4 linked regions of the Saccharomyces cerevisiae S288C genome follow. The protein of the gene in region 3 interacts with the protein of the main gene of each other region in a pairwise test. Each region holds a gene or a part of one and is shown on either strand. Other genes may lie near its edges.

Region 1 (8,286 bases), on a different chromosome or scaffold from region 3:
CACCACTTGTGTATTTTCAAGATGTTAAATTTTTGATACATAAGCTTTATCATGCAGGTGCAGTAGACGCATTTGCGTACGCGTTGAGTAGTAATGCAAGAACGCAACAATTTCACGCTTTCTACTTAAGAGGACAGATCTTCGAGCAGAATATTTTTCTCCTAGCGCGGCTTTCAGAATCTTCTTACCATCTGCAGGACATCACATGCAAGCACATGAAGCTGGAACCACGCACCATTAAATGTAAACCTACAGACATAGCTAGCACAGAAATGCTACTTTGGAAACCTCGGTTGCATCGGCTGACCTCGGCTGTTCAGCAACGTGAGCTGGTTGTTGTTATTGTTCATAGAATCCTGTATTTTACCAGTGTAGCTTTGTCCGCCCACCCCACGCTTTTGGCCACTAGTATGTACGTATATGCGTGGGCTCTATATCATTGAAAACGAATTTTCCACGCAAAACCCACTTCACACCATAAAGGCCTTATGACGATGTACATTCTTCCCCTCCCCCCTCCTCCCGAAGGAACCCTTATAGTGATCCTAATACGGTATAACGTAAACCGGAGTTGTCAGCAGAGAGAAGCGAATAATATGTTTTGCGTGGGGTTCCCACGAGCGGCAGGAACCGTAGCGCATTGAAAAATGAATCATCGATCATCTTTGGGTTTCAAGGGTTCGGACTTCGCCAAAGGTCCGAATACTTCCACCAGTATTTCTCTTTTTCCCTTTCCAGTCTCGTTCTTCGCCGAATCCCCGCTTTCCCATCATGATCGTTTCTCTGTTTCTCTCTTTCCGGAACAGGCTCTTTTCTGACCGCCAGTTCGTGCGGTTAGTTCTGTGGATCTTGCAGGCACTTGCCGGTTTAGCCACACTTCTCCGCTGTTTGTGTCGAATTTCCCTCGAGTATGAGAAAGACTGGACCACAAAAGAGGGAAAAAAAATGGGCCGATTTTAAACCATTATAGGTCACAGAAAAACTTTCTTACGACGGTGGTTTTTCAACAATACGTTTCTTGAGCAGGAGAGGAGCTTTGTTCTTTTGCCTTAGTTTTTTTTGTCTTTTTTTGTGAGCCATCCTGCTGTCGTTGCCATACATGACAGATCCACATTTGCCTTGTTGTTTTTAGTTTTTGTTCCTTGCACCATATAAAAGCGTCACTTGTATTTTCCTTACTCATCTAAACTTCAAGCTTTTTCGTCATAGTAGGTTTGTGATCTCGGCAAAGAAAAAAAATTTTTTTGCCGATCTTTCTGGTTATTGTTTCAGGTATCTTTATGAAAGTATTAGTGTACGCACTGGATTTTTGGTAGGTCTATAAAAGTGCAACACATAATCTAAATCATTGAGGTCATCGTATGTCAAAAGAAGATGTCCACAAGCATTACAGTAAGAAATAGAGATCGATCGCTACCACCGCTATTGCTCCCCAATGTTTCCCTGCTAGAAAAAGATATACGGCGTAAAGGCACCCAAAATGTGGGCATCACCGATCCAGAACTCTTGTCGACCACTTGGACGAGGAAGCGGGCTTTTCCGACTGACGAGCTTTTAGGAGGCTATAAGAGATTAAAGCCTGCTGCCGCTGACAGTAATGAGTGCGCTATTGGTATTGCCACGGTGACGCCGCCGCCAACGCTCCCCGTAAGTGCGATTGTTCCCCCTCCACAAAATTACACTCCACCATTGTTTGAGTATCATCCTCATGCTCTTGCTTCCATGGTCAATGAAGACGCTAATGCGTCATGCACTCAAATGTCTATAATTTCGCGCTCAACGAGCAACTCGACAACCTCCTCTGCCACATCTACTAGTTCAATTTCCAAGAGACAAAGAAGTGGCCCAAGTTGTGACAAATGTCGTTTGAAAAAAATAAAATGTAATGCGAAAATTGAGATTTTGCTTCAAGACGATACTATAATGCCAATGATCTCGAACAAGTTGCGGTACGTCTTGACTCCTGACGATATTCGGCTATATCGAGGCACGCTGTTGCGGAATATTGCCATACCGGATGATGTCATTGAGGGTACAGGCTCACGCAAGTTGATTAAGCATATTGATAAGTTGGTTTTGCTCACACCTTGTTTACCATGCATTAAGAAAAAGCATTCTTCTTCTTCCACTAATTTCCCAAAAAATGATAAATGTACTTTTTCAAAAGGCTTTACCAGAGCTGACATAAACATTTCATCCAAAATCTCCTTAAAATTTAAGGATAAAACCATTTACGACATAACCTATGATGACTATAAAAGCATTGATTTTTAGACAAAGGCATCTCTAATGAATAGCATCACAAAACTTGCATTTAGCATTAACATATATGGATATATATGTACACACAGAAAACGTATAAACACTCATGTATAACCCTACATAATAAGAGTATACAATGATACTAGTCATAAAAAGTATTGTGTGTATAGACGTGCGCATATTTTCAAAATATTATAAACCTGAACAATAGACAGAATAAAGTATGCAGCGCAACGACAACGATGATGGACAGCGAAAATTTCCCGTTCGATTGTGTCTCCGTATTATTATTACTCGATATTTGAGAATTCAAGAAATAAGACGACTGTGCCCACCCAAGAGCCACAATTGCCCATTGAATTGCTTGAACAGTCCTCAGGCGCTTGGACATATCCAATATATTCAATATAACACAAACGGGTATCCAGATCAAGTTAGCGTACCCGTAAACGGAAATCAATTCAGGAACACTTTTGAAGCTTCTATTGCGCTCCGAGTGCTCATCTCTATTCAATACTTGCATGGTAATAAATGGTACGCCGAACGTGTACCCGTAAAATAGCCAAATAGAATGCAGTAGCTTCTTAAACTGACTGGCCCTGTCGATGTCCTCACCAGTCTTGACGCCCTCAATTACGTCACTGATAATAAAATTTAACCCCCTACTCATGGTAAAATTGATCATTACCACCGTGGCAGTGATCCATACAGCACCGTATAAATCAGTGTTATCTTCGTTACTTTCGGAATTATGATCGTTTCTAAACGTCAGTACCGCGGACAATCTCTTTTTGAACTGCGTCAAATCGATCTGGAAGTATTTAGAATAGTAGTTTATCAATCCTGGCCTCAATCCATTACGCCCAAGACCGTCGTTGTCATTCTGTCCTATCACTTGGTCGTACGCTGGTGGGTCCATTTGACCCTGTAATGGTGCGGATTCTGCCTTACTGCCCGTTGTGTTATAAAATTCGCTACCCTTTCCAGCAGTCGAGTTATTCATGTTTGGGCTATCAGGTACGGTGGCATCATCAAATGGGTTGGGCTCGTTGCCAAAATCATCTACACCCTCGAGATCATCGTCAATATCTAAAAAACTGCTATTATTGGACGGCATTTTTCTGCTTTTGTCGAGTCAATCCTATTTGCTAGTATACAATCGTGGATGAAGCGTAAAAAAGAACTACAGAACCAATGCGTTTGGATCCAATGTGGTCGCTGCCCTTGGCCCCTTTTACCTTGAGCGTAGGACGTTGATACATTTTCACTGCTTGAGAAATTAGGTATAATACACAGCCGGGTAAATAGCGTTTAATTGATCGCTGCTCCGTAATACCGATATACTGTTACGTTATGTATTGAAAATACAGTTTAACTATTATTTGTAGGGATACTACTATGGGGTCTCAACCGCACTTAAAGGCGCTAAAATATTTTGACTTTTCCTTCCTTATATTGTAGACGTGTTATTTAAAAACTACATTTTCCATATCTCGTCGCCAGAAACTTCTAATTTGGTAAGCCTTCCAATAAATATGAAAGAATCCCCTCTCATAACGTTGGTTAAAAGACATTCCGAGACACATTTTGCCAATATCAAGTATGGGTATTATGTGTTGATAATATCATTGGTCTATCTCATTGGATTGGCTCTTTTGAGAGCTTTCGGAAGGAGAACCCCATCCAGATCGTCGTCAGCTTTCAAAAATAAGATAATTTATCGGTTGTATGATATAGATCCTGCAATTCACTTAGGTATATTGTTTTTTGCAGTCTTGATTCCATTTTATTACCATTACTCTTTGACTACCCAATCTACGGTCTATCTCAAAAGATTAGGGAGGTTGAGTTACGCCTTGATCCCGCTGAACCTATTCCTCACTTTAAGGCCTAATTGGTTCCTTAGGAAAAATTGCACCTACACTGATTTTATACCGTTCCATAAATGGTTTTCACGTATTATCACCGTGATTGGTTTGCTTCATGGGATTTTCTTCATCATTAAGTGGGCGATAGACGATAATGTCTCTCTAAAGCAAAAATTGATTCTGAAAACTTTCAATTTTGCGGGATTCATAATATCAATATTGGTACTTTTTTTACTTATTTGCTCGATTGGGCCAATGAGAAGATACAACTATCGTTTGTTTTACATCGTACATAACCTGGTGAACGTGGCCTTCATCTTACTCACCCCAATACACTCTAGGCCAGGTGTTAAGTTCCCATTTCTTCTACTAAACTGTACCCTATTATTCATTCATATTATCAATAGAATAGTATTTGCGAAATCCTTGATGATTTTGAATAAGAATGCGAATTATTCAAAAACAAATTTAGTCCATGTAAGATTGCCCAGGGCTATTCTTCCAGATTATTTTGAACCAGGGTCGCATATTAGAATAAGCCCTTACAGAAGAATTAATCCCCTCTATTGGTTGCTACCATCGCATCCATACACAATTGCGTCTTTGGCAGAAGACAATTCAATTGATCTTATTATAAAGGAAACCTCTACAGCCGAGCCAGGTAGCCAGATAGAGTCTCTTCGTAGTAATCCAAAATCCTTTCATTTAGATCAAGAAAAAACCTATACTTTGATTAATAGTTATCCTCCCTCTGTACCCGAAGAATGTTATTCTCAAGGCACGAATATAGCTATTATATGTGGTGGGTCTGGTATATCTTTTGCCCTACCACTATTTAGGCATTTTTTTAACAAGGAGAATGTAAAATACTTGAAAATGATCTGGCTGATAAAAGATTACTCTGAATATGAACTTGTTTTGGATTATCTCAAGACAAATGGGTTGACTTTTGAGAAAAAACTCTCGAATAATAAGAGGATTTCAGTATTTATTAGTGGAGAATACACGGCGGAAACACGGTTAGACGAAATTACGACCAATATCGACGATGAAAACTCAGAATATGAAATGGGATCTTTCAACAATGAAGACGAAGACCTTTCGATTTCTAATTTCAATTCAGAAAATGCGGACAGCAATGACAATACGCCAGAGACAAGTCATAGCCCCACAAAAGAGAATGGAAGCATGATCGAGGTAAAATCCAAACACAGTTTTACTCTTTCCAACGAATTGAAGAGCTTCAACAATGAAAGTGCACAAGTGAACCAAAATGAAACATGGTTGTTTTCATGTGGTCCTCCCTCGTTATTACAATTGTCTAAAAAATATTGTAACGATGAAAGGATCAACTTTGTCTGTGAGACTTACGGATTATGAGGGGAAAAGAAAAGAATAATAATGTCTTACGCAATATGCTCGGAAATGATATTCCACGACATTAGATGCTAATTTATAGTATATAGAAAACAAAAAATACATATCTGTTTTTTAATGACCTTTAGTTTATATGCTTTCTTGCGCGGCTATTAGAATACACTTGACAGGTTGTACGCATTATTAATCGGTAAATGGAGATATATTAGAGATGATCGTTTTAAAATGGAGGCTGTCTGCAAAAAAATTGGGAGCTACATTAGCAAAAAGCTTCTTTTCTTGTTGTTCTCGGTTTATATTTCAAGAGGGCAGTAGGAAAAAGGATCGAAAAGCTCGGCCTGTGGCCATGTCCTCTAAAAATCAAATATAATTTACTGGCCAACGTTATCGGCTCTTTTTGATATCTATCATCTCTTTAGCTATTGTTATCTGGCAACTGATTCAACTGATATGAACAATTCCATAATTACTGATGATGAGGTTAGAGAGTTTTACTTAAACTGCTCTTCTCAAACAATTATTGAATCTCTTCTCAGCTTGCACGAGTCATTGAGATTATATTCTCAAAACCATGAGATACTGCTCAATAGGATGTTCAAAAAATTGGATGAAACCAATGCAGACTCTAACATATCCCATATATTCATGCCTGTTGTGAGCAAGGATTTTTCAGGAATAAAAATTCTTGTGAATAACAACAACAAAAATTTTCAAGGTGTGATAAATGTTATTGAGCCTGAAACAGGAAAATTAATCGGATGTTTTGAGGCTAAACAAATTACCGCTATAAGAACTGCCCTTGCATCGTGTATCGGTTTATATAAGCAACTCTCATGTTCCCATGATAAGTTGTTTAGATTTGAAAATGGCACTTGCTATTTAACATGTTTTGGTACCGGTCTCCAAGCATTTTGGCACATATACATAGCTATTAAACTAATCATGTCAGGGATTGTTGGCGAATCTTTGAAGTTAGTTGAAATAAACATACTATATCACAATAACATGATGAGTTTGGATCGTTTGAAATCATTGAAAAACTTATTTGGAAGTAATATAAAGATAGAGCTTAATCAGTATCAAATAAACGACATCAGTTCAGAAGGTAATGGCGCTGTTTCTAACAGTGATATTATCTTTGGTTGTCTACCTACTCTAGAGCCCAACTTGTTTTTGAGGCAGTTGCTAAACAGTAAAGCTTCTGTGGAGCAGAAACATACTTATATCTCATTAATTGGAAGTTACAAACCAGTGATGCACGAATGCGATAAGGAGTTGATTGATAAGTTCAAATCTGATAATGAAAGCGCTTGCATTTTGGTAGATTCAAGGGAACATACTTTATTGGAATCTGGAGAATTAATCGATTCCAATATCGCTCCACATAATCTCATCGAAATTGGTGAATTAGATACTTTGAAAAACACAGTTTTGAATTTGAACGAAAAGGGCTGCAAAAGAACTATCACCTTGTGTAAAATTGTTGGTCTAGCGGTTATGGACGTGGCGCTTGCTAAGGAATTCTTAAGCTTGAGAACAAAAAACACAGAAAACAAGGAATAAATTGCATCTTGGCTTCTAGTTTTTTTATATTCAAAAGGGTTCTTAAGTGTTTTTAAATATGATACTTTTTTTAATATCTTACGATCCGGAAGAGATTTTTGATGTTTACATATGAGCAGTTTGATAGAAATTTTGCAATTTTTTATATTTATTAAAAGAATAAAAGTAAAGTGCAGAAAGAAAACAACATCATAAAATATGAAAGAAAAAAAAAGGCAATGTTAGTGTTATGAAGGGAGAAACAATTACCGTATACTGTTTGCAGGTGTCTATCCTCCACGGTATAGCACGTTAGGACCATTTATTCGCGCTACGGATATAGAGTTTAAAATGACTTAATTACATGAATAATACCATAATTCTTATAACCGTCATCAATCTAACGAAAGCTAGGAGCAATTTTCAACATGTATTTCAAGAAATTAGCAATAGAAAAAGAATTGAACAGATATGAAGATTTTTGCCATATTTTAAAGAGAGGCTGGTGACTTTTCTCTGTCGATCTGTGCATAGCCAATATTAAAGTTATTTTTCATTAACGCGCATATGGAAAATAGACAAATGTCATAGGGTTATAGTTCTTAGATTTACTATTCTCTATTTGATGTCGGCGAAACAATGTTCCTGTTTTTTAACCATATTTATGTTCCACCTCGATAGCCGCTGATTATTAAAAAGATGTAGGCTTGTATGGAAATTTTCGAGACTCCATTTTTGGACGAAAGCAATGAAAATTATATACAGAATATTCCAGAAGATCACCTCAAAAATCCAAAAATATGATCAGTGATTTAACAAGAAAACCGAAGATTTCTATTGTTCCTTCGAAATTTTTTCAGTTTTATGTTCAATCTCTATGTTTTTCTTAAAATGATAAAAGGTCGTCCAGCTTGGTGAAGCTTACATTTAAATTAAATAAATTGGTGTGACTGAATAGAATAGCGTCCTTAATAACTAGAGATTACATTGTAGATGAATAACAACTAATTAATTCAAAAAAAGTAATCGTTAACTATTTCCGGAAGAAACAAAGGCTCATTATCAAATTTGATGATCACAACCAATGTGTATTTAAATAAAGGCCAATATCTCACGGTCTGTTGAATCTAAACTAACTATTGAAATATTCATTTGTTCAGAAAAAAAGATCATTAATATTACATGTACTGATATGCTAACAATCCAAAAATGCTTATACTACATATTGTTGTACACC
Region 2 (8,097 bases), on a different chromosome or scaffold from region 3:
GGTACCTCTGCACTAAAATCTTCTGCTACGCGGCAGATAAGAATATTGAGGAGATTGACTCTTTAAGGGCCATATCAAGTATTCTAGTGAACGTTTTTGTGTCTGAATATTTGGTCAACCGGGAATATTACGGATACAAAGACAGCAACGTTCAAAAAAATAACCAAAAAATTGACATTCTAATGAAATCCTTGGCGACTGTTTTTGAAATCAAAAATTTTGATGGCTTTTTGGATCCATTGAACCAGTACGCTAACGAAATAAAGCCTCATATCAAAGATGTCCTTTATAATGTGTTAGTAGATCCAGAGTATGAACAAGAGGGAGATAGATTGATTTATTTGGATATGGTATCGCCAAGCCCCAAATTGGAATTGTTAACTGAAAAGGTTCTGGAAATCAGTGGTAAATTTGAAGAGTATTTAAATGAATTTCCGGAAGCAGATATTTTGCATGATATTTTGGAAAAGAACTTGGACAATTCATCCTTTCCAAGATCAGGACGTGTTACCTTGGAATTGGATGCATCTGCATATCGATTCCTCGTTAGTGATGACAAGATGAGAAAAATCTACGACCAAGTTAAAAGGGCATTTGTGTACATGATGCAAATTGAGGATGTAGATACCAATTTGTATGACCTTTCAATTAGTACAATTCTACCTCAAGATGAACCAAATTTTGCAAATTTTCTGGAGCAAAATCCTAAAATCAGGGATGATCCAATGATACAGAAGCTGAAACCATTGAAATACTTCACACTCAAAAATGTTACTTTGAAAAAAATACATGAACTAGAAAGTACGGGGACTTTTTGCTCTTCTGATAATAAGTTACAAAATTTCTTAAACGATATTGCGAACACTATTAAAAATCCCAACTATGCCATTGATTATGTAACCCAGGAAATTTACATCACAAAGGAAACACTCACAAAAATTTCGGAAATGAACCACAGCTTAGATATAGAATTATCAAGGCTTAAAAAACATGTTGATCATACGATAAAAGACTTCCAGAAAGCCAAGGATTTTTCGCCGGTGCACAAAAGTAAATTTGGAAATTTTAAGAATGCAGTAAAAAAAGTTCAAGGAAGAGAACGTTCTGAATTGCAGGGAATGAAGTTTAAATGGAACACAAAGCAGTTGTATGAAAGAGGAGTGCTTAAAACCATCAGGGGTGAAAAACTAGCTGAACTGACTGTAAAAGTCTTTGGTTCGAGCGGTCCTAAATTCCCAGATATAATATTCAAAATTTCCACATCGGATGGTTCTAGATTCGGTATTCAAATGATTGACAAAAGAAAAGGGCCCGATAAACGATACTCGGATGATGTCGATTCTTTCTCATTTAAAGACTTGATAAAGACTCAAGTTGAACCAAAAATCGAGACGTGGAAATTATTCCATTCCAACGTTGTTGTTAACAATAGCCAATTACTACATTTGATTGTCAGTTTTTTCTATAAAAGGAACGCTTTGTAATAGATAACTCGGTTTTGAGCATATTGGGCAAAAGCTGTTACTAAATTTTCCCATTCTTTCTATTTTTATCTTTGTTTTTATTTTCCTTATTTTCAGCAGCAAAAATAATTTAACGTATAGTTATGTAAAGGACCCTAAACATCTTCTTTTTAGCATGTGCTGTAATTTGGCGATATCTTCAGTAGATAAAAATAAGATGTGTTAAGTAATGCACTTCGTTATTTGGCTACTATAGTTGGCAATCATCATTTGTTTAAATGGAATAATCTATATAGTACTATAAATACAGTCATACTAGAAAAATATTAACGACCAAATAGGCCCAAGAAACCACGCTTCTTTTTAGGCTCTCCTTCCGTCTGCTCATTAGAAATTGGTGTTTGAGAGATGCTCTCGGTTTCTGTGACTGAATCTTTCACTTGAGAAGCTGAGGGCTCTTGCTTATCATATGTTATGTAGTTGAAGGCCAAATCAAAAAGTGTTGGTTTACTAGGAATGGGCAGCATTTTTGGCTTGAGAGGGAATAAATTTTTCAATTGTATGTCCGTTGGCAGTATTTTTTTACTATCCAATTTTTCAATCACTGTCAAATCATATTTCCCTAAGCTGCCACCATGATTTCTTTTTTCGTATTCCGCCAAAGTAATGACACTATTACCACCGTTTTCGATTCTCTTTTGTAAGCTTCGGACAGAATTCAATGACAAAAGATTTGCTGGAAGTAAGATTTCGTCTAGAGATTCAATTTCAGATAATTTGTTTTCTAATCTTCGGTAAGCGTCCACATATAGAGCTAACGCCTCCATATATCTGCCTTTCGACTGATATAAAACACTCAGGCAGCCCGTATTCAGAAATAACTGGAAATACAGCTTGCATAAGTCTAATTGGCTTAGCAGCTCGTCATCTGAATACACACCAGGTAGCTCCATTATGTCCGATAAATATTTTGTCAAATTCTTCACAATACGTTCCATTTCTTTATATTTGGTTAACTTCGATGGTAATGAAGTATTTAATTTCAGCCATTGATTCCATAAATGAGTAAACAAATCTCTTTCACGAGATATAGAGGTCAAAAGAATATTATATTTAATGTAGGCTAAAATTATCTGATTGTTTTCAGAACTATTTTCAACCATCTCGTCTATGTCATCTTGATCGTCGTGGTTTGCGATGAAAAATTCATGACGGTCTAAAGCTTTCTCCAATTTTGATAGCCTCTGTGTATATTGAGTAATCTGAGTTGGGTGGATAGATAGACCTTGTTCCAAAAATTGAGCAACTTCAGCATCGATTATCTTGGCGTTGAAAGATCTCCAGTTTATGTTAGTGGTAACCTTTTGATCTTCAGTTGAGGTTGTAATTTTTTTCATATTGAATCCATTGTCTAATAACAATTTCACAAGCTCATCGTCCTTGTTCTCATCAGATTGAACTCTTTCCACGATAAAGTTATTTATTTCGGGCGTTGTAATTAAATTTCCCGCGTACTGCTTGAGAGAGTACTGGTATTTATTAACAATGTTATCTACAACTTCTTCAGCTAATAAGCTTAGATTCTTCAAGTGTTCCAATGCGGCGAAAACGAGGGCTAGGTTGTTCGAAATTTTGGCATTGTCCTTCCTCTTGAACCTTTTTCCATTAATTAGGTACTCTGAATGTACCAATTTAGCGAACGCTAAATATTGGGCACGAGTTATCCATTGCTGTTCATTTTGAGTGACGTTAACCAATTTATCAGCAGTCTTGCAGGCCTTCTTCAATCTTGTGGATAAAACCTTTTCTTCACTTTTCTTTAACTTTCCTCTTTGACGAGCTCTCAATTTCAAAGTTTCAGCCAGTGCCAAGTCCCTTTCAGCGTGTAGTAAAATCAAAACACCAATCAATTTAGTTTTATTATCATAATCCTCGGAGTTAATTTCGCCATACTTATTTTTACTTGAGTATTTCTTTGTATCCTTGGTGACCAAATGGCAACGGCTCCTCAAGTGTTGCAACTTTTTATTCAATTTCGCATGATACTTAGCGAAGTCTGAGTCTGTTTCTAAAAACTGTTCTGCACGATTACCATAGGTGGCAATGATTGGAGAATAGGCAACCATCTTTAGTTTCAAGCGTGGCTAGTTTTTGATTCAATATGGAAAAAAAGAAAATTACACTGTAATATAATACAATTGATCACTTTGATGCTCAAATAATTCAAATAACCTAGTCTCCAGCTGCTCGTTTATGCTAATATTGTTGGATTAACTCTAGCAAATATACTCCAAAAAAAATTTTCAGAACTTATCACGAACAACGATGTGGTAAAGACAACGAAATACTACGTAAATCATATTGGTCTGCTCGTTTATAAAAGCTTACTCCCAATCAAATCACTGCAATGGAATATGTCGTTTGGTTCGTTGTTGTAGTTTGTGGAATGCCAGAATCATCAGCTGTTTCTCTTCCAAAGCTTCCCTGAGATCGCTTCTAAAGGTTGTTTTGTAGATCCCATCGAACATGAAAAAATGACAGCAATGTAATTAGAACCAGAATTACAACGTAACAAGAAGAAGTAAACAAGGCAGTATTCGTATATTTGTATGGCGGGAAGTACATCCAGTTTGGTGATCTGTGCGATTGGTATATATGCTACTTTTTTGACGTGGGCATTAGTACAGGAGCCTTTGGCTACAAGAACCTGGCCAAACTCCATGGGAAAGTTTCAATTCCCTAATGTAATATCCCTCATACAAGCTTCTGTGGCAATGATGATGGGCTACCTGTACTTAAACTGGAAGAAGGTGGAATATCCGCCCAGAAAAATGATTAAAGATCATTGGAAACAATTGATGTTGATATCATTTACACAGAGTAGTTCAGGCCCGCTGGCTACAACTTCTTTAAAGCACGTGGATTATCTCACTTACATGTTAGCAAAGTCATGCAAGATGATCCCCGTGTTGTTGGTGCATTTGCTTTTGTATAGGACGCCCATAGCAAGCCAAAAAAAAGTTGTAGCTCTCTTGGTAAGTCTCGGTGTCACTATTTTCACTATAGGTGGCAACGATGGTAAAAAGTTGAAGAGATCCTTTAATGAGAGCGGAAATGATAACAAATTACAAGGGTTTGGACTACTTTTCTCTAGTTTATTCCTTGATGGATTGACCAACGCCACCCAAGATAAGCTACTAAAGGCCAATAAGGCCAAAGAAAAGGGAAAACAAACTTTGATAACAGGTGCACACTTGATGTTTACACTGAACCTCTTCGTGATATTGTGGAATATTTTGTATTTTATTGTGATCGACTGCAAACAATGGGATAATGCCGTTTCTGTATTGACGATGGACCCACAAGTGTGGGGCTATTTAATGCTTTATTCGTTCTGTGGCGCTATGGGACAATGCTTTATTTTCTATACTCTAGAACAATTTGGCTCTTTAGTTTTGATCATGATAACAGTCACCAGGAAAATGGTCTCGATGATTTTGAGTATTATTGTCTTCGGTAAGAGTGTACGTTTCCAGCAATGGGTGGGGATGTTTATAGTATTTGGTGGAATCACTTGGGAAGCACTCAACAAGAAGAAGGCTAATATACCGAAGGCAAAATCTGCGTAGATTAGTGAAGATCGCAACAAATAAAAGTTAATATTTATAAAATTTGTCTATACTATGTACTTCCTATTTTTTTGATGGACGAAGCAGTCTCTCTCTTAATTCAGGATCGTATGCATAAACATACAGACCACGCACGCCACGAGTTAAGAGGACATTAATGCTATTCATAATAATCTTTTGCTTAACGTCCTCTGCATTGTGAATGTTTTTCTTTTTGGTGAAACCGGCCCTATCGTCATACAGCTCTGGTCTTAGTTTGATGCAGTCATTAGCCGCATCATACCCAATGGAACGGCCCAAAATTACACCAGCATAATTCAGATCAAACCCTTGGATAGTATACACACTACCTACCTCATCAATCGTGTCGCAACGCTCACTCCAAGGCGTCACTTCACGTGGAGTATAGCGATCCCAGCGAACTTTGAAATTGTCACCACATTCAACGTAATAGTCTTTTCCGTCCAAGCGATAGGGAAAATCGTAAGTAGATAGCATCCTACATTGGCCGTATTGACGGTCTTTCTCCTTGATTGCCTCGTACATGGCGCCACAATCATCCCAAATTTTGAAATCAAAATTCTTAATTTTATCGTCAGCACAATCTGCATTGCCCTTAGATAGCACAGATTCAATTGGTGGGATTTTACCTGCGACACTAATTTGGTCAATCCAGTTCAACACGTTTTGTGGGGCAGCAACCCTAAACTGCTGTTTTAAAGTGTACCAGTCTCTGGATTTTGGTGGAATCTCGTTGTAAAAGTCCTTTAAAGTGGCACCGTTATTAGAACCTTCATCCCAATAGGAACCCATTCTTAAAGCTTGCTTATCATCGTAAACCAATACAAGCACTTTACAAAGGGACATTAAGTCTTTGAGATGGTTTTCGCCATAAAATCTTTTGAAAGCATCCTTAGAAGTGGCCAACAAATGTGCTTCATCTACAATGACTACATCGGCCATGACTTTTCTCTTCTGTAGATTGTTGATCAACGAAGTGGGCCGTTCTAGTGACGATTTAGAAATATATTTGAAACTGTCACTAATCCGGATATATAACTTTAACATCTCGGGATGGTTGACTACCAGATAATTATGTGTCCCATGTAAGATATCTTCAGAAGAAGGTGAGAACTGGGATAGTTTCTGAATTTCATTGAACAAGGAGTTTAGAATCACAGACTTGCCTGTACCTGCGTCCCCTTGGATTACAAACATGGCCGGATGTTTCCAGTCAGACTTGTACTGAGATAAGTTGGAACGCATGAACGACAAAACGCGCTCTCTCAACTTTTCTTGTTCAGCAGAGAGTGTTACGTTAGACAACTTGTTCATAGCCTGCGTGGAGACCACGGGCCTAGGTGCTCTTCTTGGTCTCTTCACGCTTCTCACATTGCGGGAAATAGCTTTTGAAGTAGGCCCATGCATTTTATATGGTTCTAATGGAAGTTAAATGCTACTACCGGGTCGCCAAGAAAGATGCGATGCCATGCTGCATACATATGCATAGATTGTTTATATATGGCGATGGCTGCTTTTATGATTTCTCGAGAAAATTTTTCACTTTTTTCGGCCCTTTGAGATCTAAAGCCTCTTTTTTTTTTTTTTTTTGAACTGCATCGATACAAGAAGAATAGGGGGATGGGAAAGGCTTAATTGGAAGCACTGAGAACAGCAATTCACTCTGGTTGTTAGGTTGTGCTATTTGGTCGTGCTATGAATTGGAAGTCGTACGTTTTTCCCGGTGGTCATCCACCAGCTGCGTTGACCACAGGCCTTGTGGTATTTCTAACCGCTATTTACCTGTTAAGTTTTATTTTTGCCCTAAGGGAAGACCTGTCGTTGGCGCCAGAGTCATTGTTCAAACTGCAAATGAGCAGGCTATCGCTTTATCCTTTAATTCACCTATCATTGCCTCATTTACTGTTCAATGTGCTAGCCATCTGGGCACCCTTGAATCTCTTCGAAGAAACGCATGGGACTGTGTACACAGGTGTTTTTTTGAACCTGAGTGCTCTATTTGCCGGAATTCTGTACTGTTTGTTGGGTAAGTTGCTATATCCAGAAGCATTAGTTGCAGGCGCCAGTGGGTGGTGTTTCACCTTATTCGCATACTATAGTTTTAAAGAATCACAGATCCGCCCTAGAACAAGGATCTTTCGCACAGACTACTCAATTCCGACATTATATACACCCCTAGTACTATTAGTCGCAATTGCCGTCGTTATACCTGGCTCCAGTTTCTGGGGTCATTTTTTCGGCTTATGTGTCGGTTACGCCATAGGCTACAAGGAATCGTGGTTTAACAAGATCACTCCACCAGGATGGATCATCACCAAAATCGAAAAAAGTTTAGACGGTTTAATTCGATTAATACCTTGGGGAATTAAGTATTACAGAGATGAGGATATCGACAGAACTAAAGATTACGAACCGTTAATGTCCACAGAAACACCATTGCCTCTCCACAATGACAACTCCGGCACTGTCCTAGGGACTGCCTAGACATTTGTATCGCTATTCTTTCTTTCACAGTTTAAGGATGTATATAAATGTAGTATATATCATTTTATATTCTAATATGCAAGAATTTTCAGTCTCTTCTTTTTCCTTAGCGTGCGTTTATGAAAAAAAATGGAATATGAATAATTACTGGGAGGAAGACCAGGGGCAAGGGGTGAACCATCTTGTCATCTGAAATCTTGTATAAATAATTTAGTAATCAGTTCTTTAGGTTTTCGAGAGTGGCATACAACCTAAAGGGTCAACAGACAACAAGAAGGAAAGGAATTATAGGAGCAAATACACGCCCTTCAAATGGATCCCTTTCACAATGGCAATAAAAGGAGCTCAATATCGTTTGGCTCATCGCAGCGGCAGCCATATAACAAGAACAATTACTTGAGTGGTACTAATGGGCCTTCCTCGGCGGCACAAGATCAAGGTAGAGGCCCATCTCCCTTTGGAATGTCTGGCAACACTACCAATGGCGGTAACAGCAAAAG
Region 3 (8,158 bases):
AACGGCATTGTCTTCTTTGAACCCTGCCATGATTTTCATTAATTTGTTAGCTTCCCTCAAATCTTCAGGTTTACCACGCCTGATCAATTCTTCGAGTTTTGCAGCTTGAGCAATTTCCTGCTCCTTTTGAATTTCACTAGCGGTCTTCAATTGATTACTAGGCTTCAAAACTGCTAGGTCGGATTCACTGATTTTGGGGAATGCATAACCCTTATATTTCAACAAACGGTGCATGTCTCTAATATAACCCATATCATTCTTGTAGCTTGAGTGTTTACAAATTGTTTGATACCATTCTTCAATAGCAGTTAAAATCAATCTCTGAATCTTAGAATAACGTAATGGTGGGTGACCTGGAAATCTCTTGACCAGTTCATTCAAAAATTCCTTTCTAGAAATTTGCAAGTGGAATGGGTATCCACAATTCTTGACAAGCACGTCTAATAGAGATAACGCGAATATTGCCACGTGCGATTCTCTATTGTTGATCAGTTTAGCAAGTGCAATGGCAGCATCCCTAGGGGCAGCGCCCTGTTTTTCATTAATGTAGTCAGCAATGTCAAGATTCAACGCCAAGTCTGGTTCAGCAAGTGACATTCTGCAAGCTCTTTGAATCTTCCTCAAAAGAGGATTGCCCAAGGCTTGAGGTTTCCTGACGGGCAACTCAGACAAATATATGCTATGTGAGTGCGGATGGGACATGATGCAGTATCACGATTAGCAATTCAGCTATGAGTTATGTTGCTCTTTGTTTTGTTTATGGAAATTGTCCTATGGTAAGTCTCTTTTTTTTGCAATCGTGATTACAGAAAAAAAACAGGGCGCTGGAAAAGTGAAGAATCCGAAATTTTTTTCGAAATCACCATTGTTTGTTTTGAGTAGATCAAAGTCTTGAAAGGTGCAGCAAGATATAGGATCTTGACCTGAAGAGTATTGATAACGAACTACATCACATATTGTATCAAATAATGAGTGCTGCCACTGCGACTGCTGCCCCTGTTCCTCCTCCTGTAGGGATATCCAATCTTCCCAACCAGCGTTATAAAATTGTTAATGAAGAAGGTGGTACATTCACCGTGATGTTATGTGGTGAGAGCGGATTGGGTAAAACTACATTTATTAATACCTTATTTCAGACTGTCTTGAAAAGGGCAGATGGTCAGCAACACCGCCAAGAACCCATCAGAAAGACTGTAGAAATCGACATCACAAGAGCTTTGCTGGAAGAGAAGCATTTCGAATTACGCGTTAATGTCATCGACACCCCAGGTTTTGGAGATAACGTGAATAACAACAAAGCCTGGCAACCATTGGTGGATTTTATTGATGATCAACACGATTCTTATATGCGTCAAGAGCAGCAACCGTACCGTACTAAGAAATTTGACTTGAGAGTTCATGCCGTTCTGTACTTCATCAGGCCCACTGGACATGGTTTAAAGCCAATTGACATTGAGACTATGAAGAGATTGTCAACCAGAGCCAATCTGATTCCAGTTATTGCGAAAGCTGATACATTGACTGCCCAAGAATTACAACAGTTCAAGTCCAGAATCAGGCAAGTAATAGAAGCTCAAGAAATTCGTATTTTCACGCCTCCATTAGACGCTGATTCTAAGGAAGATGCCAAAAGTGGCAGTAATCCAGATTCTGCCGCTGTTGAACATGCAAGACAGTTGATAGAAGCAATGCCATTTGCCATAGTAGGGTCTGAAAAAAAATTTGACAATGGGCAAGGCACTCAGGTAGTTGCAAGGAAGTATCCTTGGGGACTTGTGGAAATCGAAAACGATTCTCATTGTGATTTCCGTAAGCTCAGAGCCCTGTTACTGAGGACTTATCTATTAGATTTGATTTCTACCACCCAAGAAATGCATTACGAAACATACAGAAGATTAAGACTTGAGGGTCACGAGAACACCGGGGAGGGGAATGAAGATTTCACTCTTCCAGCAATTGCACCAGCAAGGAAATTGTCACACAATCCTAGATACAAAGAAGAAGAAAATGCATTGAAGAAGTATTTCACTGACCAAGTCAAAGCTGAGGAGCAAAGATTTAGACAATGGGAGCAAAACATTGTTAACGAAAGAATCAGACTGAACGGTGACTTGGAAGAAATTCAAGGAAAGGTAAAAAAACTAGAAGAGCAGGTCAAAAGCTTGCAAGTAAAAAAATCCCATTTAAAATGATGATTAATTAATGTCTTCCTCTTTGTCTCGTCAATTTCAACGCCTATCTCTTTGTCTCTTCTTTTGTCGCAGCAATACGCACATATATATATGTATCTTATAAAAATATTTCAAATATATCTCAAAAAACATAGAATACGTAACACAATCGAACAGTAAAAACAAAAATAAACCGGTTTTTTCACGTTACTCTTGGGCACTTAGGTACCGTTCTGCATCCAAAGCAGCAATGCATCCGGAACCAGCAGAAGTAACTGCTTGTCTATACCTAGAGTCCTGAACGTCACCTGCAGCAAAAAAACCTGGCACAGAAGTCAGAGACGATCCAGGCACAGTTTTTATATACCCCGTCTCTTCTTCATCTACTTGTCCTTTAACTATATCTGTGGCAGGGCTGTGACCTATTGCGTAAAATAGTCCATTTACTTCTAAATCGTTCTCCACATTACTTTTAGTATTCTTAATTCTCAACATATTCAATAACTTACCATCACCCTTAGCTTCTAATGCAACTGTGTTGAACAAAACAATGATGTTTGGATTTTTCTCAATTCGTCTCTGCATTATTACAGATGCACGAAAATGATCCTTTCTTACTAATATATATACTTTCGACGCATACTTCGTAAGAAATTCCGCTTCCTCACACGCAGAGTCACCACCACCAATAACGGCCAATGGCTTGTTTCTAAAGATAGGGACTGCACCATCACATACAGCACAGGCAGATATTCCCTGCTGCCAGTAGGTTTCCTCCCCTGGTAAATGCATTCTCTTAGCGGAAGCACCCGTGGCCAAGATTATAGCATCAGTGGTCACAGGCTCTGCATCCTCATTAAATTCGGTCCATAATCTGAATGGTTTTGAAGATAAATCGACTTTAGAGACAGTCTCGGTAATTATGTTAGTGCCAAACTTGGCAGATTGTTTCCTCATCCTCTCCATCAGTTCACTGCCACTCAACGATTCAGGAAACCCTGGGAAATTTTCGATATCGGTGGTTGTTGTCAATTGGCCACCAGCAGCAATTCCGTTGGCCATCATTCCCTCATATAATGTGGGCTTCATCTCTGCTCTTGCCAAGTATATAGCAGCGGTGTGGGCAGCGGGGCCAGAACCTATGATTGTAACCTTGTGATGAATCATCCTTGACAGCACGGACTTGCTGATGCCAACAAAATTCGTCCTGAATGGCGAAACTATATGTTTTATCATTGTTTATTTATATTAGAAACTGTGGAGTCCGTTTCGTTCTTCCTTTAATGTTGGACGATCCCCTAAAAGTTTTCATTGCGGTCAGCTCAAGGCATTCCCCATCGAGTGATTAATTAACAACGCGCCCGAGTTAAATGGGATAGTAGTAGTCGATGAGAAGAATAGTCGGTTGGATAGGGATGGTGAGCTATGCAACTCGTTTTGAAGGCTCTAGAAACTGTATGAGTATATCTTTGGTCATTTCTACGAGGCTGCTGTTAAGGATGATGTGATTGAGGAAGTACTCGAGCCCTCTCTGTCTTTTTGCCAGCCAGTCCTTGTTCAGATTCACTTCTTGATATTTCCAAGAACTGTACCACTGCACTGAAGGGGGAAGGTGTGGAATCTGCAAACAGTTAAGTTTCTCAGGTTTCGCTGTCTTGATTCTTGTGAGCAAATTCTCTCGTAATCTGACGAAATCGGAGTATCGTTTATAGGTTTGGATTTTATAGCTTTCCCTCTTGGCCGCAAAAGCCTTCAAGTTGGGTTCAAGAAATACGGTAATTCTCCAGACAGCAAACTTTGTTCCATGGTCGCCATTGACTATGGTGCAATCGCTGACATGAGCCTTTTGAAAACTAAAGTTTGCATTGATAGAACTGCTTCGTCTAGGTCTTGTTCTGGTAATTGTGGCACCGCAATCATTACTATGGCTAGTGCTATCATTGCTGTTTGACGCACTGATGGGTCCCTCATTTTCTTGTTGTGAGTCAATGTCGAGTTCAGGCTCCGTGGAGTCTTCGTCAAGTAGTTGGATGGGTTCGGGAGGTAGAAAGGATATCTTGTCGCTCATATCTTGCTGTTGTTTTAGTTGAAATGGAAGCTGCTATTAATATCCCGATAGATATCCGGTTACTCAAATGATTTTGGGACCGCTTTGCTCTCTTGGTGTCTATTTTAGTATCACTCACTCATCGCCCCCACTCGTTTCCCTTTTAATTTCAATTACCGTTGGGTTCTGTTAAAAAATAGCCAAATTGTCAACCATACAAGAGATGAATTAAAAGCGTGGATGACACCACAGGCAGAAAAAGTATATCCAACATTTTATTTAAAGCTGTTCTGTGTCTAAACAGAAGAGCATGTAAAAATTTATACACATATACAGCATCGGAATGAGGGAAATTTGTTCATATCGTCGTTGAGTATGGATTTTACTGGCTGGATCAGGCAAAAGTGGGGAATTTACCATCCAACCAGGTCCATGGATCATTAAATCTGATGTTGGCATTTAGTGCAGAAATATCCTTCAATTCTTGCTCCGTTAAAGTGAACTTTTTTTCGATTTCTAGGTTGCCAAGTAACCTTTCCTTCTTGGAAGATTTTGGAATGACGGCAATGCCTCTCTGAGTTGCCCATCTAAGCAATACTTGGGAAGTGGTACTGCCTGGATGGTTTTGTGAGACCTTCTTGATTACATCATTCTCGAACAGAGTTGGCGTGGTTTTTGCCAACTGTAAGTCCATCTCAATGAATGATTGAGGACCGAAGGAGGAGTAAGCAACTACTTGGATATCGTGTAATTTACAAAACTCAACTAGGTGTTCTTGAGTCAAATAAGGATGGTGTTCAATTTGCAAAGCCACGGGCTTGATTCTACAACCACGTAATAAATCTTGAATCAAGCTTCCCTGAAAGTTGGAAACACCAATAGACTTAATCAAGCCTTCATCAACACATTCTTCCAGAGCCCGGTACGTATCTATGATTGGTACATGTGCTTCGGTGATGTGACCTTTCTTCTCGTCATCTGCGCCCGTATAGAATCCTGGAGGGTATTTCTCTTCAAATGGAACATATTTGAAGGCGATTGGGAAGTGAATATAATACAGGTCTAAATAATCAAGTCCCATATCGCTTAAGGTCTTCTTTAAAGCTAATTTTACATGATCAGGATGGTGAAAATTGTTCCATAACTTTGAAACAACAAATATATCCTTTCTAGAAACAAGACCTTCGGAGATGGCTTTCCTGATACCTTCACCAACTTCCTTTTCGTTGCCGTAGTCGCAAGCACCATCGAATAAACGGTAGCCTAATTTGATAGCTTCATAAATTTGATTCGCACAGACTTTTTTGTCAATTTTCCAGCACCCTAAGCCGACTAGGGGCATTTTCAGACCGTTATTAAGAGTAACCAGTGAAGACATCTTTAAAAAATTTCCAATTTTCCTTTACGATTTATATTACAGTATTTTCCCAATCGTCTTGAAGGATTGCACTGACAACTATTTGCTTCTATATCCCTTATATACTTCAGTGTACCAGGAGTAATTTACTTGATAGGCCCCCTAGAAGTAGTAACTTCGAGGTTTTTTTTTTTTCCATAAAATTCTTCCGCATGTGGCTTTTCCCTTTTATGACGTATACGTTTACTACCAGCAACAATTGGGAAACAAGTATAGAATCTAGAGTTCCGATAATGAAATATTATAAAAGTTTTATTAAACAGTGAATGTGTAAAGAAAACAAACAACTATATGCTGAGGAGACTTCTAAATATATGCTGAGGAGTTTTCCTTGGGCTCCCTTTTAATCCAGTTTTTTTTTTCTTGTGCATGAGTGAAATTACAGTTACAAAAAATATCAAAACTTCTTGTAGTAATGCGCCCATTTCTTGATGAACACGGCATTTACAGTATCTGCGTCTACGAATTCATCATTGATGAATACTGGAATGCAAAATCTCTGGTCATTCACGTTACAAAGACTTCTTAAATCAGTGAATCCAAAGTGGTAATTTAACAATACATTTAATGCAAATGAAATCAAGATCTTGTAGTTTATTACCACTTTCTTCGAGCGGTAATATTCCCAATCCTTGTTAACAAACTCATCTTCGTTGATTGGGCTATTTTTGTAGCTCTGGGAATTGTTGACTACTATAATATCCATGATCCACATAAAAAGCTTATGATCAATACGTTCTAGGATGTTCCACCAGGTGGTAGAGTTTATACACTCCGTATTAAATTCATCCTTGAACTCCTCGTTTTGCGATAAATAACCGGCTACGACACCCTTACGTTCTAAAACCTTTGCATCGAACTTTTCTTTACAAAGATCATTAAAACACGTCATTTGTACTAAATTAACAATATTCCAAATCTCGTTTAGCCCCAGGTTCTGAAATGATTCACTCACCAAGAAATGATGGAAAAGGAGTTCATCACCGGTGACTATACCCTGTGATGAGATAGATTTTATCTTCAATAAAAGCATCAAATCAGGACATATATCATGTAAACCGCTCACTTTTCGCCTCAAACTTGTTTCGATTAGCTGCGATATTTCAATTTCCTTGTTTTTAGGAAAGTCTCCCATTTTTGTTAAAAGCTCCTGTAGCTCATGAAATGGTTGAATATAGTTTTTGGTAATAAACCTAGTCTTGCTCTGTAAAATTTCGCTGTAAATTGTTGACCTAGTTTCGTCACTAAATGGAGTGTCCCAAACCATTTTACTTAGGCTTTGTAAGGAGGAGTTTCTAGTTATATCTCTGTCCAATAATAACACATATTTTTGCCTATTTGTTTCATCTCTAATCAACTTTTCTTCTCTGTCTTTATTTTTTCCTAGTTGGTCAAGGGAAGCAACACTCATGCTTTTGTTAATTTGCCTTTCATGAAGCTTTTTTTCCTGGCGATCCTTGGGTGGTAACCAACTCGGTCTTGAATGGCTGACCACATCTAGTTTGTTCTCCGAGACAAGTATCAAATCTTCCATGCCTTGATTTTGAGCTTCTTTTAGTTCAATTGGCAAGAAATCGGAAGACTTTGTTCTTTCGGACAGCTTAGATCTTGAAAGCCTATTGGAAGAATGCAAATAAACAGAGGCTAGACTCTTGGTTGTGTCTTGAATGAACTGAAAATCAGTTACTTTGTTCAAACCTGGAATCGGAGACGTAGGCATCTCATTAAAGTCCAATAATGAGGCGTTTGATGTTGTACTCGCAAAAGAGATGTTCGAGTACCTATGATTTTGTTTTGTATAAGAAATTTCAGAGTTATCATTTACCAAACCTCCGGTATATTCTGATAAGTCATTCTTGCCAGCCAAGTTATTCATATCATCGGGCTTAGCAGACGCTAGAAATGAATTAGTAGATAATGATGCCATAGGAACGTTCCAAATCAACGAATCATCAACGTCTCCCTCTTGTAACTCAAGAATTTGTTCTTGACTATCATAAAATTTCTCTTTTCTTTTGATTGTATTTCTTAAATTCATCTCCGATTGCTCTTTACGAAGTCTGTATTTCTGAGACGGAGTTAATGGCTTGCAATTCAAAGGTTTCTGAGATGGAACGTTAAATTCTAATGACGAAGCCTCTATCCGATCACTTGAATTAGAAATTTTGGAGCTTATGCCAAACGTTTTCAGAATGCTGCTGTTGTTATAACCCGTAGACGAGCATGTTTGCGATTTAGCACGTGATCTTTGCTTGCTGTTCAGTAAAGATGACTGGCTTTTCTTCGAGGAGAACTGTTCTTGGTAAGAATGTCTAGATTTATTCATAGTTTTCTCTGCGGCTGTATCATCAAACGACATGCTTTTTTGCAGTGCCATTTTGGAACCGTCCGTAGTTGCTTCCACAATGGTATTATTGCTTGCGCTTCTCATTCCATTTCCATCAGCGCCTCTACCTTGAGTAGCCTTTTCCATCAATATGCTGGGAAAAGTATTTATTTTAGATTTGTCGGCATCACTGCCTT
Region 4 (8,631 bases), on a different chromosome or scaffold from region 3:
TTGACTGGTCCATCCATCGTTTTCCATTGTGAAACTGTCATTGCCATTACTGGTGGTACCGCTCTATGTACATTAGACGGCCAAGAAATTCCCCAACACAAACCGGTCGAAGTTAAGAGGGGATCTACTTTATCCATTGGCAAGTTGACAAGCGGCTGTAGAGCATACTTAGGTATCAGGGGTGGCATTGATGTGCCTAAATACTTGGGCTCTTATTCTACTTTCACTCTAGGAAATGTCGGTGGATACAATGGAAGGGTGCTAAAACTTGGAGACGTACTATTCTTACCAAGCAATGAAGAAAATAAATCAGTTGAGTGCCTTCCACAGAATATTCCTCAATCATTAATTCCTCAAATTTCCGAAACTAAGGAATGGAGAATTGGTGTAACATGTGGTCCCCATGGGTCTCCAGATTTTTTTAAACCTGAGTCCATCGAAGAATTTTTCAGTGAGAAGTGGAAGGTTCATTACAACTCCAATAGATTTGGTGTCCGTTTGATTGGACCTAAACCTAAGTGGGCAAGAAGTAATGGTGGTGAAGGTGGTATGCATCCTTCAAACACTCACGATTACGTTTATTCTCTGGGTGCAATTAATTTCACGGGTGATGAGCCAGTTATTATTACTTGCGATGGTCCTTCCTTAGGTGGTTTTGTGTGTCAAGCTGTTGTCCCAGAAGCAGAACTGTGGAAGGTTGGACAGGTTAAACCCGGTGATTCCATTCAGTTTGTGCCACTTTCTTACGAAAGCTCGAGATCCTTAAAGGAATCTCAGGATGTTGCAATTAAATCATTGGATGGTACTAAGTTAAGGCGCTTAGACTCTGTTTCAATTTTACCATCATTCGAAACGCCTATTCTTGCACAAATGGAAAAAGTGAATGAGCTTTCACCAAAGGTTGTATACAGACAAGCAGGTGATCGTTATGTTTTGGTGGAATACGGTGATAATGAAATGAATTTTAATATTTCCTATAGAATTGAATGCCTGATCTCCCTTGTGAAAAAGAATAAGACTATTGGTATTGTTGAAATGTCCCAAGGTGTTAGATCTGTATTGATAGAATTTGATGGTTACAAAGTCACTCAAAAAGAATTGCTTAAAGTATTGGTGGCATATGAAACAGAAATCCAGTTTGATGAAAATTGGAAGATAACTTCTAATATAATAAGATTACCGATGGCTTTCGAAGACTCGAAGACTTTGGCATGTGTTCAAAGGTATCAAGAAACAATTCGTTCGTCTGCTCCATGGTTGCCAAATAACGTTGATTTCATTGCCAATGTAAATGGAATTTCAAGGAATGAAGTTTATGATATGTTGTATTCTGCCAGATTTATGGTTTTAGGTTTAGGTGATGTCTTCCTAGGGTCGCCTTGTGCTGTTCCATTAGATCCTCGTCACAGATTTTTGGGAAGCAAGTACAACCCAAGTAGAACATATACAGAAAGAGGTGCAGTCGGTATTGGCGGTATGTATATGTGCATATATGCTGCTAACAGTCCTGGTGGGTACCAATTAGTGGGTAGAACAATACCAATTTGGGACAAACTATGTCTGGCCGCATCTTCTGAGGTTCCGTGGTTGATGAACCCATTTGACCAAGTCGAATTTTACCCAGTTTCTGAAGAAGATTTGGATAAAATGACTGAAGATTGTGATAATGGTGTTTATAAAGTCAATATCGAAAAGAGTGTTTTTGATCATCAAGAATACTTGAGATGGATCAACGCAAACAAAGATTCCATCACAGCATTCCAGGAGGGCCAGCTTGGTGAAAGAGCAGAGGAATTTGCCAAATTGATTCAAAATGCAAACTCTGAACTAAAAGAAAGTGTCACAGTCAAACCTGACGAGGAAGAAGACTTCCCAGAAGGTGCAGAAATTGTATATTCTGAGTATTCTGGGCGTTTTTGGAAATCCATAGCATCTGTTGGAGATGTTATTGAAGCAGGTCAAGGGCTACTAATTATTGAAGCCATGAAAGCGGAAATGATTATATCCGCTCCTAAATCGGGTAAGATTATCAAGATTTGCCATGGCAATGGTGATATGGTTGATTCTGGTGACATAGTGGCCGTCATAGAGACATTGGCATGAATTACCTTTTGTTGGCATCTAAAATCAAAGGAGCACTCATTTAGTCTTTATAGCATGCCTTTTTCTAGCTATTTTTAATGACGAATATATATGTACATAGTATTTACTGTAAAATGTATGAAAAGAAGCTTAAAATTATTACGTGTGTTTGTTATGTTCTCAATTTGCTGAACCACTGCTATCAATTATTAGGGGCACAGAACTATCTTTGGACCGTCTTTGACTGTCTGGCTCTGATGTGCTAGAGTTGAGTTCAGAAGTATGATGTTTGAGATCGAGCGATGCCTTGGCAATGCTTAATCTTTTCATAATACGTTTCTTTTGCCAGCTAATAGGTAGATATGGGATATATCCGTATTTTTCTTCTATCATTAGCAGTTTCAAAGCGCATATTAATACCAACCAGTAGGCGTTGTAGCTAATTACAGAGCCGACGGTAGCACTATTCGTCCAACCAAAAATGGCAGTAAAAATCATCCAACCTCCATCTTTTTCACCATTGCAACAATTAACATGCCAAACAGAACGAGATATGTCGTACGAACCGGGTCCATTTCCTACTTCACTCATGTCTTGACCGTTACATTTGTTGACGTAGTCTTGCAATTCAAGTTGCCATACACCTTTGGAAAACAAACCAGCCGCGATCAAGTAGAGGAAGCAGGTGGCGACTACAAGGCATATCTTAAGTGAAAGAGAACTTGAGTACCTGAAGAAAAAAATACCGAACACCGTACTGATTGCAGTAGCAAGGACCATAGAGAGGGGAATCGAGGATAGTGGTTGGTCAATACCGATACCTCCAATGAATACAACAGCTTCTAACCCTTCTCTCAAAGTCGTTATAAATGGTAATATGAAGAAGGAGTACTTTTCACTGAATTTCACACCTTTTTGGGTTTTGTTTCCCAGCAAATTATTGTCCTTTGAATAAATGATAGAAGCTAATTTCACTCTGAACTTCTCTCTTAACTTCCCCATTCTTAAAAAAAACAACCCCATGACAGAAATAATAACGGACGCGACAAGACTTAAGACACCTTCATAATAATGTTCACTCAGTGTCCATAAGTCGGTTCCAATATGATAAAAGATACTAACAAACGCACCCCCGATTAACATACACAGCAACAAACCAAATGCGCCGCCCGCTAGAATTTGTATTTTTAATTTCTGATATAGCTTAACGTTGTCAGCCGTATGTTCATCGGACTCGCGGTCCTGGTCTCTAAGCTCATTAGAGTACTCGTAAATTTCTTCTTCTTCCTCCACATTTAGCGGCCTCGATTTATTATTAGCAGCCGTAGCGGACGTTCCAATAGCATTACCGTCTGAAGGCCCTGCTTGTAAGAAGGCAGTGGTCGAATCTGCGTTTGTGTTCGTATTTGGACTTGGAAGACCAGCAGAAGAGGAACTTCCTTCAAACGGGCTGTCGTCCTCAACAGACAGACCTTGTTTGACGATCGTCAACAGGATAGAAACAATGACAACAATTTCTAAGGATTCCCTTAAGAAAATGAAGAATATCTGGAAAGAAAAATAATCCTCAAACGCCATGGTGACTAGAAATATGAACACCACTCTAGTTCTCTATTCTTAGAGTTTTTTCGCTTTTCTGTAGAGGACAAAAGTTCAGTAAGATGCTTGATTCTTTATAATATCAAGTTTGTGTTTTTGTAGGCTGGTTTAGATACAATTTTGCTTTTCTCTCTTCATCTCCGGCCGCACCGCACCCATTTTTGAACCCAAGAAGGCACTAGAATAAAGTGAGGTGGCTACTACATTGAATTATGTGTATATAGATAGATACATGTTGACGTTTTAGCACCTGTTTTGACGGAGCAGGCGCTATTTGTAGTTTGGTTTTTAAATTCCTGGTGGAAGCTTGTAATTTCCTGCTGAAAAGTACTTTCTAGTACAGAAGTAGTCAGGAGTCCAGGTGACGTCCTTGCTAGGTTCGCAGATACACTTGTTTTGTAGTCTAATCTTCTGTTCGATAGGACAAGAGGTGAAATCTGGATGATGGAATCCAAGACCGTCAAAGAAATGGATTTCTGACTTGTCCAAGAACAAAGAGGCAGCGATGGAGTGCACTGGCGCATCCCCCCATCTTTCGTAGAAGAATCCACCAGAACTGTCTAAGTAATCAAAGTATTCTCTGTATGCATCGGACCTGAAGAAGTCTAAAGAGCCGATTTCGAAGTTGGTCCAGAAATGACACATATTATAAGTGTCACCATCATCATTCGAAATGAATTTCATGAGGTTATTTTTGTGTAAGAATTTAGGATTTTTCTTGATGAATTTCTTTGTCGTTTCCCACAAGGTTGGGATTGTGCGCTCATATTCACTTACCGAAAGAATGAATCCATATTTCTTGTTATTTACTTTTAAAAACTTGAATATGTCATACTGAATATCACAGAATAAAGTGATATCGGTATCCACTCTCCAAAACCATTCGTACTCCTCCAGTAGTGGGTGTCTCCATATGAACCCTGACTGGAAACGGCACATGTGACGGTAAGGCACGGAACTACCATATGGAATATCCAATTTTCCCATTGCAAGCCTTTTCTCATCGAATTTTTCAGTATCGATCCAAGATGGAATGGACCAATGGTCCTTTGGGATTGTCCCATATTTTGCCTTGCCTGAAACCAATGCACTGGTAACACGTTTAAACTCATCACTAAATGGTTGGTCATTCAAGAACACCCAATCGTAGTGATATCTGTTATTGAACCTGTCTTCAACATGTCTAATAGATTTTACCAAGTTCCATAAATCTGAATTCCTGGCCAATGTGACCATAACACCCTTTTCCTTCTTTCCATCGTCCACGGGATGGATTACTCCTTGTGACTTGTCAGTAAACGGCATCAAATAATCCTTACTGGCTACACGACTGACACTGGTGCCCTGAGCTATTGGTACCTCTGGGGACCTTGAGCCACTCATGAAAAATAAAAAGGATAACACTATGATGAGCCCAATGAATGATGATCTGATTCCCTTTTGGTATTTTCTAATCAGCAATGCCGATTTGGGCATTAGCTTCTTTTTGTGGTGCACAGACATAATTGCACGCTGGATATTGATAGTGTTGTTGTCCGCAGACGAGGCCTGACCTTCTTTATGCAAATTTTAACCATCAGTTACGTTGTTTTCTTCGAAAAGTTTCAAGAGGACGCGCCATTCTTTTAACCCGGCAATTTTAAAGGGTTCATTAATAAAGAACTACCAAGATGGTACAGTCGCATTTGGATCGTAACTCAACGTTAGAAGAAAGCCTTAAACCGAGAACTTTTTCTCTTGGTAATGAATATGGCAGAACGTGCAGAAGCAACAAAAAGTTGGTCCTGTGAGCCCCTTTCTGGAAAGACGCTAGAAGAGATTGTTCAAAATGCAGAAAATGCAGCTGATTTGGTAGCTTACATTCGCAAACCAGAGGTAGATTTGGACTTTAGGTTGAAGTTTATCGCAGAACATGAGGAGTTTTTTAATGTACAACTATCGGATCGAAATTCAAGAATAAGGACGTGTCACAACTTGAGCGATAAAGGGATACGGGGTGATACTGTTTTCGTCTTCGTGCCTGGGTTGGCTGGCAACTTAGAACAATTTGAACCCTTACTCGAGCTTGTGGACTCTGATCAAAAGGCATTTTTGACGTTAGATCTGCCCGGCTTTGGTCATAGTTCAGAATGGAGCGACTACCCCATGCTGAAAGTGGTGGAACTTATTTTCGTTCTTGTATGTGACGTCTTAAGAAAATGGTCTACAGCGGTGCCGAATAATGATAACGTAAATCCATTTAACGGTCATAAGATAGTGCTTGTAGGGCATTCTATGGGTTGTTTTCTGGCATGTCATCTTTACGAGCAGCACATGGCTGATACAAAAGCGGTACAAACGCTAGTTTTGTTGACGCCCCCCAAAGCACATATCGAGCAGCTTTCTAAGGATAAACATATTATCCAGTGGGCTCTCTATGGTGTGTTTAAATTGCCATGGCTATTTGACGTTTATAGAAACAAATTCGATCAGGTAAAAGGTCTACAAAGTTCCGGCATCAAGCAGTATTTTTATCAACAAGGTGATGATGTCAAGTTGAAATACAGGAAGTTCTGGCAATTTAAAAACAACATAAGCAACAAAAGTAGAACCATCATAGGTTATTTACTAGGATGGGAAACTGTTGATTGGGTTAAATTCAATGGTGTATTGACGCAAACGGATATGAAACAGAAAATTATAATATTTGGCGCTGAAAAAGATCCTATAGCTCCTATTGAAAATTTGGAATTTTACAAACAAACTATAAATAAAGAATGTCTTCGTAAAGTGATTATTTTACCTGACTGTTCTCATAATTTATGCTTCGACCGTCCAGAATTGGTGTGTGAAAACTTTCAACGAGAGGTGATTGATAATTCCAAATTGTAGAAGGTTTTCTAGATTTCACATTGCGTAACTAGATTTTCGTGCACACTGCTACATGAATTGATAAAACAAACCAGAAAAAGTAACTAAGACCAATATTTTCAAATTTTTCATAGTATACTTTATATCGTACATCTTACAAGCAAAAATCAAAGGTAGTGTCTATGTATGCAAAAAAATAGGAAACGAAAAATAAATATAAATAAATAAAGCCATGAAATGTAGAAAGGCTATGCAAAAAAGAAAAAAATAAACATCAATAATATTTGGCCAAATAAATTAACAGAACGTATGCTGTTAAAAGAGAGCAGTCGTTATATGATGCTTTCAGCATAGTAGTTATTTTCGCCAACATTTCTCCTTAGATCAACTCTCCTCAACTCCTTTAACCTACTAATCAAATTGTGTGTAATACTGTCTATTCTCAAAGTTGGTTTTCCAACTTTCATTTTGTCCATATCAATGTCATCATCCACACATAATTTAACCACTAAAGAAACATAATCTTTGGAAACTTTTGTGAGCCAAAATGAAGTTGGCTTTTCTGTTTTTAATATTGTCAACCTGAATTGTAAAGATTCTGCTTCGAGATTGGAATCAGAAGTAGCATCAGCCTCAGATCCGGCCCCATATCTAATATCAAATAAGTTTGATATTTCGAGAATATCCGGGTCTCGGCAACAATAGTTTTTTATATATAGCTTTTCGGACTTGATATTAAAAAGCTCTTCTAATCCTAAATCATCTAAATTTGAAAGATGATCCATAACCATCAATGCGACAAATTCATGCAATTTGGCATTACAAGCCCAGGAAAAATTTCTATCCAAGCCAGAGTCCCGGAAACTGAATAAGTGTCTTTCATAAGAGTTGTTTTCCATGGATTTATAATCCAAATGCTGGCGAAACGTCCTCATTACAAAATACTTTACCATATATTGCCTGCACCACACAATGTCATTCATTTTCACCTTAGTTAAGGAGCAGTAGCCACCTTTTTCTTCATTTCTATTGCAGATCATTTCAAAAATTTCAAAAGGGTTTAGCTTCTTTAATACGACGTTCTTATTGTTCAAGGTATTGTTGCGTCTGTGTTCCTCTCTTGTTTTCGTTTGTGCATCGATTGGAGGTGGGTAATCTGTCCAATTCGCCTGACCTCCAATCCAACTAGATGGATTGGTACCTAGGCTTGAAGAACGTGAGTGTTTCTTGCTTAACCCCTCATAATATTCATAACCTTTGCCAGAATCGGTCATATAGACAATTTCTAAATCTTTCTCAGGGCCTGCAGAAACACTAGACTCCTGGACAGCGGGCAACAGTGAAGATGTCATCCTTCTTCTTTCGGATCTTTGGTTGATTAATTTGAAATCGGTACAAATAACTAAATTGGAAAGGTTTAGTTCAACAAGGTTAGGACACAGGTTCAGCATATGTAAAATATAACCTAGGGGCAGATCTTTATAAGGAGCGTACTTTAAAAGAAATTTGTTGGCATACGGATGATGCGTACTAAATGGTTGTTCAATGCTAAATTTTAATGTCGAAGAACGATAATTGGATGGATGCCCCGAATCGTGCTTTAAAACTTTAAAGTCATCGTCAGACTTATCCTTCGAGTTCTTTAAATTAATCGTATTAGCTGTCCTTGCCTTTCTATTTCTTGAACTTAACCTCATTCTAAACCAGGAAGATGACGTAATGTCAGATATAGGTTTTGCTTTCTGAGGAGATGACCTTGTGGACTTCGCAGAAGCTTTTTTCAATGATCCAGCAGTGGAAACTCTTGACAGATTACTACCAGAAGAGATGTTACCATTGCTGGTATTAGACGTGGTTGAAGACAATGAGACATGGGAGGTGTTATAGATGGATGACATGATACTCGTCGTTATGGAAGCAACGGAACTATTGGAACGTTGTCTCCTTGTAGAGTGAACACCGGTGGAATTTCCAGAAGATGTAGAAGTGATAGAAGAAGAACGAGAAACCACTTTTTTCAGTTTAAAGCTGTTCAACAGAGGAGAGCTATAAAGGGGTTCATTTCTGTATCTCCAGTCTCTCCAACCAGCTAATGCCAAG

What was found.
Region 1: the proteins of YPT35 (region 3) and YIP5 interact in a two-hybrid assay, tested with the Saccharomyces cerevisiae proteins (2 studies listed by BioGRID).
Region 2: the proteins of YPT35 (region 3) and RBD2 interact in a two-hybrid assay, tested with the Saccharomyces cerevisiae proteins (2 studies listed by BioGRID).
Region 4: the proteins of YPT35 (region 3) and KTR3 interact in a two-hybrid assay, tested with the Saccharomyces cerevisiae proteins (2 studies listed by BioGRID).

The regions. Positions count from the first base shown.
Region 1 is NC_001139.9:196,764-205,049, forward strand, and holds YIP5 (Yip5p), read right to left. Parts: upstream 3,380-8,286; coding exon 2,447-3,379; downstream 1-2,446. Other genes in the region: SUT1 (Sut1p), read left to right, coding at 1,375-2,274; AIM14 (putative metalloreductase), read left to right, coding at 3,798-5,510; YGL159W (uncharacterized protein), read left to right, coding at 5,958-7,070. UniProt on the Saccharomyces cerevisiae protein: Possible role in vesicle-mediated transport. May be involved in proper membrane localization of Rab GTPases.
Region 2 is NC_001148.4:84,009-92,105, reverse strand, and holds RBD2 (putative rhomboid protease RBD2), read left to right. Parts: upstream 1-6,808; coding exon 6,809-7,597; downstream 7,598-8,097. Other genes in the region: IQG1 (Iqg1p), read left to right, coding at 1-1,484; signal recognition particle subunit SRP68, read right to left, coding at 1,790-3,589; UDP-galactose transporter HUT1, read left to right, coding at 4,073-5,092; YPL245W (uncharacterized protein), read right to left, coding at 5,156-6,520; YPL247C (uncharacterized protein), read left to right, coding at 7,910-8,097. UniProt on the Saccharomyces cerevisiae protein: Probable rhomboid-type serine protease that catalyzes intramembrane proteolysis.
Region 3 is NC_001140.6:320,847-329,004, reverse strand, and holds YPT35 (Ypt35p), read right to left. Parts: upstream 4,240-8,158; coding exon 3,595-4,239; downstream 1-3,594. Other genes in the region: GGA2 (phosphatidylinositol 4-phosphate-binding protein), read right to left, coding at 1-702; septin CDC12, read left to right, coding at 969-2,192; thioredoxin-disulfide reductase TRR2, read right to left, coding at 2,379-3,407; GRE3 (trifunctional aldehyde reductase/xylose reductase/glucose 1-dehydrogenase (NADP(+))), read right to left, coding at 4,613-5,596; SBE22 (Sbe22p), read right to left, coding at 6,033-8,158.
Region 4 is NC_001134.8:630,175-638,805, reverse strand, and holds KTR3 (mannosyltransferase KTR3), read right to left. Parts: upstream 5,185-8,631; coding exon 3,970-5,184; downstream 1-3,969. Other genes in the region: DUR12 (bifunctional urea carboxylase/allophanate hydrolase), read left to right, coding at 1-2,103; FTH1 (Fth1p), read right to left, coding at 2,263-3,660; LDH1 (triacylglycerol lipase), read left to right, coding at 5,425-6,552; COS111 (Cos111p), read right to left, coding at 6,864-8,631. UniProt on the Saccharomyces cerevisiae protein: Possible glycosyltransferase that transfers an alpha-D-mannosyl residue from GDP-mannose into lipid-linked oligosaccharide, forming an alpha-(1->2)-D-mannosyl-D-mannose linkage.